Linked DNA regions of Cricetulus griseus. The protein of the gene in region 2 interacts with the protein of the main gene of each other region in a pairwise test. Links are inferred from orthologs where the notes say so. Each region holds a gene or a part of one and is shown on either strand. Other genes may lie near its edges. The genes, in order: Sptan1 and Exoc1.

Region 1 (3,821 bases), on a different chromosome or scaffold from region 2:
AGCATCATGTATTAAAACTCAGTAAATGAAGAATTGAAAAGGTAAAGAACACTTCTTTCTCACCTTGAGTTGGCCCTGGGAATAACAGGGAAGTTAAAGATGATGGTGAGTTAGTGGCAGTGACTAGCCAGGACAATATAAGGGGACTCATCTCAAACAGCAAAAAACGTGACACAAGGTGGGAGCCTAAGCATGAACAATATAACCTGTTTTTCTGCCTTTTGCTGTCTTTAAGTTCAGCGAAGTTTTCCTTTCCCGGAACTAGGGTTTGTATGGTTGACATTTGAGAACAGAATTCAGAACTGTAGGAAAGCCATCTTCTGTCCTGGGACCACTACTGAAAGTGACATACTTTTTATTTTTCCCAAGGCTTCAGCGCTTTCTGGCTGACTTTCGTGACCTCACGAGCTGGGTGACTGAAATGAAAGCACTCATCAATGCAGATGAACTGGCGAATGATGTGGCTGGTGCTGAAGCTCTGCTGGATAGGCATCAGGAGCACAAGGTAGTATTTCCATGATCTTGCACAACTCACAGAGAACCTCTTGCCTCTGCGTCCCAAGTGCTGGGATCAAAGGCTTGTACCACTACCACCCTGTTTCAAGAATGTTTTAAAGAACTTGTTAGGTGCGGTGCATAATTTTAATCCCAGCACTGGGGAGACAGAGGCAGATGGACTTTTTAAGTTCCATGCCAGCCTGGTCTGCATAATGAGTTCTATGCCAGTCAGGGCTATCAGTGAGACCCTGCCTCAAGAAAAACAAAAACAAAAACATGTTCATTGAAAGACATTGCAAAAAAGATTGACCACATGAAATGACATCGAATGGATGGTCTTTATGAATGTATACATTCAATTCATTGCCTGTCAAAAGCCCAACAAATCTGTGAGCATTTGCACCGAATAAGCTTAGTCTCAAAAAGCTAAGGCAATTTTGAGGAACATGGTATATGTGGGGGGCCGTGATTCACTTTACCAGGTGCTATAAAATTGTAGTAAACAAGTCCATGTGGCATAAAAAACAATAATGGGCATTGTGAACATGTGGTGGCTTGGTTAATGACATGTGGCCTATAGAGCCGGTGGCAAGCTCTTCTTGGTTGGCTTACACTGACAGCTAGGAAATACTTTGAACCTGCTACTCTGTTTCTTTTCTTTTTCTTTCTTTCTTTCTTTTTTTTTTGTTTTCGTTTTTGTTTTGTTTTGTTTCTTTGAGACAGGGTTTCTCTTTAGCTTTGGAGCCTTTACTGTAGATCAGGCTGGCCTCAAACTCAGAGATCCACCTGCCTCTGTCTCTCAAGTGCTGGAATTAAAGGCATGCTGGAATTAAAGGCATGTGTGCTGCGCGCACACGTGCAGGCCCCCCCCCCTCCCGTTACCATTCAAAAATGCTGAAAATATTCTATCTCTTACTTTACAGGGTGAGATTGATGCTCATGAAGATAGCTTTAAGTCTGCAGATGAGTCTGGGCAGGCTCTGCTCACAGCTGGTCACTATGCCTCAGATGAAGTGAGGGAGAAGGTAAGATAATGAAAAGGGGCTTTTAAAGAGAAAGCCTGGACCATAGAATGCTTCTCTATCCCCGTAGCCAATTAGGGGCCCACCATCAATTTAAAGCACTTATTGGCCCAAGATTTTGCCACAAAGAGGCAACTTTTTCCTATAGAGATTTAATAAAGATGTATGTGACTGGTTGTGGTGGCATATACTTTTAAATTCCAACACTTGGGAGGAAGGGGCAGGCAGGCAGTTCTTTGTCAGTTTGAGGTCAATGTGGTCTATATAGCAAGTTCCAGACCATCTAGAACTTGTTCCCCAAGCTGTATAGAGCCTATCTTGTAGGGAGAAAATATGTATTTGTAATATTTTGTTCCAAGAATTTTTTTTTTCTTTTAAATTTCAAGCATGTGAGAGCCAGTCCTGTTTTAGTAGTTAGAGTGAGTGGGAAACAAATTGTAAAGTGTTTTGGGATGCCCACTCAGTTGACAGCTCTCTATGTCCGTGGTATCACTTTCAGAGTCTTTCATCTACCATCTCCTAGAATGTTTATGATAATATGACAGTAAATTCTAGGTTAGTCAGGATGAGATTCTTGTGGATAGCACACACATGCCAGTTCTGAGGTATTTGTATATTTCTCACAATAAGCTTACATACATTAAGTGCTATTACATGAAGAAATGCCTAAAGCCTAGCATGAGCAACCCCATGTCTCCCAGAAGGTGGAAGGTAATTTTGCTTCCTGTTCCCCAAGCTGAGCATCCTCTCAGAGGAGAGAACCACCCTACTGGAACTGTGGGAGCTTCGGAGGCAGCAGTATGAACAGTGCATGGACTTGCAGCTCTTCTACCGTGATACTGAACAGGTGGACAACTGGATGAGCAAGCAGGAGGTAATGTATCAGGAACCCTACCAGGGAATACAGGGTCATGCCCTACCTCTCCAGTGAGTGCTGGTTTTGTTTCAGGACATCTGAGCCATTGTGATTAGAATGAAGAAGGGAACTAAGCAGGTTTACTTTGGCCCTGTCTGCCTCTGGTATTGCTGAGATAGGAAGGCACTTAAAAGAAAAAATTGTGCAGTACAAAAAAGGTTTCTAAATGTAAAAGAAGCTACGAGAGCTATGTAAGAGCTGGGGTGGTGCCTATTTGCATCATACTCAAAGCTATGGCAGGAGGGTCACAAGTTCAAGGAGCTACCCAGGAAATTAAAGAGCATGTGAACTGCATAGTGAGACCTGTCTCAATATCCTCCCTCCCTTAAAAGAAATAATTAGAAAAGTGGTTGGTAAATATGGCAAGAATCATTTTCCAGTGCTCCTGGTGGATTTTTTGTTTTGTTTTGGCTTTTTCAAGACAGGGTTTTTGTGTAGATTTGGCGCCTATCCTGGCACTGCTGAGGCATCTCTCCATATCTTCACCCCCCCCCCACCCCCGTTGAATTTTTTTATTTTTTATTTTGTTTTATTTATTTATTTATTTATTTATTTTGGCTTTTTCCAGACAGGGTTTCCCTGTGTAGCTTTGGAACCTGTCCCTCTGTAGACCAGGCTGGCCTCGAACTGACAGAGATCCGCCTGCCTCTGCCTTCCGAGTGCTGGGATTAAAGGCGTGTGCCACCAACGTCCAGCCCCTGGTTGATTTTTGAGAGAATATAAAAACTGTAGACTTGGACGGGTGTTGGTGGCGCACGCCTTTAATCCCAACACTTGGGAGGCAGAGGCAAGTAGATCTTTGTGAGTTCGAGACCAGCCTGGTCTACAAGAGCTAGTTCCAGGACAGCCTCCAAAGCCACTGAGAAACTCTGTCTCGAAAAACAAACAAAACAAAACAAAAAAAAAAAAAAAACAATAAAAATAGACTTTGTAGTAGTGATCTGAGAAGTTGGATTTCCATTGAAAATTTCTTGTCTGTGTTTTGTCAAAATCTGCTTTTGCTTGTGGGCTATAGATGAATGAGCATCCCCTGATGCTGCACACACACTTGCTTTCCTTTCTCCAGGCATTCCTGCTAAACGAAGATTTGGGTGACTCCTTAGACAGTGTGGAAGCTCTTCTGAAGAAGCATGAGGACTTTGAGAAATCCCTCAGTGCCCAAGAAGAAAAAATCACAGTAAGACCCTTATTGTCATGTGGTCCACAGAATAAACAATCCCCTTCTGAGAGGTTGGGGAGCTCTCTGCAGAGTACTCCCGGGAACATGTATGACCTCATGATGACATCATTCGATCTTGTACATGTAACACAGCTTTATGGAGCAGAATCACTTGATTGATGGAAACCTCCCAATTAAGATGTAACTTTGACTGACACTAAATCAG
Region 2 (3,821 bases):
TTGACCACCTTCACCTGCACGGGGCGTTCAGTTGTCACTGTTGAACAAGATACACATGACTGTTAGCAATTTTAGTCATCTACTCATCTTCATTCACTCACTGTAAATGTCACTTTCAGGTGCCTGGTAGGGTGACACTAAAATAAGTGCAATATTTTGTAATAAGTCAACTGAGGAATTCACAGAATCCTAAAGGAAGCATCTAAATCAGACTAGAAGGTCAAAGGCAGACAGATGCCTTGAGAGGTATAGCTTAGGACCTGTTTTAAAGGGCGTAGGAGGGAAATTTAATGATTGACATGTGTAAGTGCAGAGTCCTGAAAGAGCCTAATGTCATCACAAAGAGCAAGAGGAAATGATCCAATGCAGGCCTCACAGTGTAATAGAAGGTGGATGGAAATGAAATTACCACAAAAGACGGTGCTGAGTTCTTCAAGGGCTCCATCTAAGGCAGTACGAGCTGCTATTACAGAAACAGAATGCTCTAGTTTCTAGTTTCAAAACATGACTCTGGCAACAAATGGAGTTTAGATTTGGAATGGATGCTGATACATTTGAAAAGCAAATGGTTCTCCAAACAATAACAATTATGAACAAAATGCTCATGAAGGTACTGTTGAATGGGAGGGGTCACAAAGAATTATAATTCAATTAATTAAAAGTTTAAAGATAAGCAAAACAAAATAATATATAGTTGGAAATCATACATGGGGAACATGGTAAGATTCAGGAGACCAGACACCTGTTGCTGTAAAGTGGAATGGAGTAAGGAAGACGATGGCAATTCAAAGATACTGGAGCTCTCATCTTACACTATATAAAATTTTTTTTACACACACTAAATATTCAATAGAAACAATTAAAAATTAATTTGTCAGTTCAATAATTTTCTCCAGTTATAGAAACAATGAAAATACTTTTAAAAGAAAGAAATGACCCTAAGGAATGAAGGATTATCAAGTACATATTTTTGCTTAAAAAATGCCCACCTGTAGCACACAGAAAACAGTTCTTTTTCTTTTTGCCTGCTTTGCAGACATTCACAATGCTCAGCAGGCGCTCATCATTCGGAGTGAAGATATCTCTCTGTAACGCGTGCTTGATCGCTGTCATCTTTTCTCAGCTGAAAAAGAATTTAGGATAGAGGTATTGTGCTCATTATCAAAATCTCTGCCTTCCCTCATAAACTGTTCCATTTACAACTCAAATGATTAAGTCTTCATTAGTAAACACATAAATATATTAATATATGTACATCATAAAAGCATGAGGCTACAAGTTTGGAAATGAATCAGAAAAAAACTAGTATTGTCACAGTAAAAAAATCTTTCCAAGTGCTCAACAACACTTAAAGTGGAAACACAGACACAAATAATCATATATATACTCATATCCATACATACACATACATACATATATGCACACACAAACACATACAACACATACAAATAGTCAATAAATATACAAAAAAAGTGTTCAGTATTGGGCTGGGGCAATAGCTCTGTTGGTAAAGCGCTTCCTCACAAGAATGACACAAGCCCCATCTTGTTTGACCTCTAAAGCTCACACAACAAGCAGTGCATGGTGAGCCCTGCTTTTAACCTAGCACTGAGAAGACAGAGTCAAGCAGACCCCTGGGGTTCACTGACCATTGCCTCACTTATTTGTGGAGTGCCAGTCTGGTGAGAGACCATGTCTAAAAAAGGGGGAGGGGATGGATGATGCCTTAAGGAAAACTGTATGGAGCTGCTCTTTGGCTTTTGGCAGACTCATAAAAGAAACCAAAACCATTCCATATCATAGACCACTTGGGAAACACAAATGAAATCCACAGTGAGATACCTACTACTTTCACATGTTCGGAAGCTAAAAAGGATCAAAAGGATCGCAACAGAAGTACTGATGAAGGAGCCTCTTCCATACAGCTGGTGGGATTGCTTCAGAAAACAGTCTGGTGGGGTCTTCAAAGTCATGCATGCAACTACCATTGTTATCTAGCACACAGCTCCCAAAAGAAATTATGAAAAGATATTCACAGAAAAACTCACATGTGAGTGTTCACAGAAACATGACAACCAACCTCAGTATATGTGGGGAGGCACCATCTCCAGGGCCCCCTATAGATACCAAACCCACAGATGTCTAAGGTCCTTAACATAGAATGCTAGAATATAATCTACAGATTTGTATCATCTCTAGACTATTTACAATTCCAAATGCAATGCAAATGCTATATAAGGCTTGTTATTTGTATTGTTTAAAGATAAAAAACAACAACAACAAAAAACAACTCCATACTTGCTCAACACAAAAACCATTTTCCCCCAAATATCTTCATTTGGTGGCTGGTTCAATGAATGGATTTGGAACCTGCAGACACAGAAGGTGAACTACATTTTGCAGTAGCCAAAAAGTAGGAGCAAGTCAAATGTTCATCAATGGACAGATAATGAAATGGGGAAAAAAAAATTCATGAAGACAGAAAGATGAGCAGTTGCTAGGAGATGGCAATGAAAAGTAGAAACAGCTGCTAATGGGGAGAGAAAAACGTTCTTCACTTAGTTTGATGGTGTAAAAACTTGTGAATATACTAAATAATGATAGGACACCAAGTGGGGAAATCTTATAAGTGAATTACACATAAGATCACTGTAAAAGTAGCTTTCCATTTCTTTTCTTCTCATCTAATTCAGTCTTTCTTCAAACATTAAATTAATTTTAAAAAATCTTCCTGACTCCTGTCTGACAAATGGGGAACCTGCATAAGACTGAACTAGACTCCCTTAATACAGGTGACAATGGTGTGACTGGAACAATATATGAGGCCACTGGTAGTGGGTCCAAGATCTATCTCTAATGCACAAACTGAATTAGTGGAGCCTATTCTATATGAAGAGACACCTTGCTAAGGCTAGACACAGGGGTCTGGGGGTGGGGAGGTGCCCTGGTCCTGCCTCAATGAGATGATGGGACAGACTTAGTAGACTTCCTAGGGGAGGCCTTACCCTCTCTGAGGACAGGAGAACTGGGGGAGAGGGATGGGGGAGATCGAGAGGGGAGGAGGGAGAGGGAACTGGGATTGGAATGTAAAAAATAAATTAATAAAAAATGTTAAAAATGTTTAAAACCTAAATATTGAATAAAATACAGAATAGTTTTATATTATTTTTTAAAAAGCTATGGGAAGTGCCCCACAATACAGTGAATGAATGAAGGAAAAGGCAAATGGAGAATATAAGCATATTAGAACATTTTTACACTTACTCTTAATGTTCAGAATTTTTTCTCCTGAAATTTTGATATTGTATATTCCTGCCTAGATTTAAATAATAAAGTAGTTTTACTTAAAAAAACTTCAATTGTTAATGAGAATAATTTAAATGCTTTTCCTTTTATGTATCTACTATTTTCCAATGCAAATGTGCCTTTGAGATTAATTTCTTACAATACCATTTCTTTCGATGGGAAAAGGAAGAAAACATGAGCTTTAATTAAATTTTTATAGGACAATGACTTCTTTGTAGAAATCCTACAAACTGTGCCTCTTCTACACTTTACTCTGTGAAGCTTCTATCCATATTCCAAGTGCAAAACTTTTTCTCATCTAACCTACACCTTCCATCTCCATCCTTCATCCACCTCATCGCGAGCCTTAGGTGTCTAACTTCTTTCCCAAGCCAGCCTGGAGGTGGCACTCATTTCCCTATACCCACAGTAGCTATCCCCTTTGATCATTTTAACCATACTTGCAGGCCAATTTATTCTCCATCATCAATCTCCATAAACAGCGTTTGTTCTTTACTTCTCTAAGGCCACTAGCC

What was found.
Region 1: the proteins of Exoc1 (region 2) and Sptan1 interact in a two-hybrid assay, tested with the Homo sapiens proteins (2 studies listed by BioGRID and IntAct). The link is inferred for Cricetulus griseus from reciprocal best matches to the Homo sapiens genes EXOC1 and SPTAN1.

The regions. Positions count from the first base shown.
Region 1 is NC_048599.1:141,660,651-141,664,471, forward strand, and holds part of Sptan1 (spectrin alpha chain, non-erythrocytic 1), read left to right. Parts: intron 1-369; coding exon 370-505; intron 506-1,421; coding exon 1,422-1,523; intron 1,524-2,256; coding exon 2,257-2,394; intron 2,395-3,502; coding exon 3,503-3,613; intron 3,614-3,821. UniProt on the Homo sapiens protein: Fodrin, which seems to be involved in secretion, interacts with calmodulin in a calcium-dependent manner and is thus candidate for the calcium-dependent movement of the cytoskeleton at the membrane.
Region 2 is NW_023276807.1:142,974,851-142,978,671, reverse strand, and holds part of Exoc1 (exocyst complex component 1), read right to left. Parts: intron 2,055-3,821; exon of another isoform or gene 1,847-2,054; intron 1,124-1,846; 5' UTR 1,114-1,123; coding exon 990-1,113; intron 38-989; coding exon 1-37.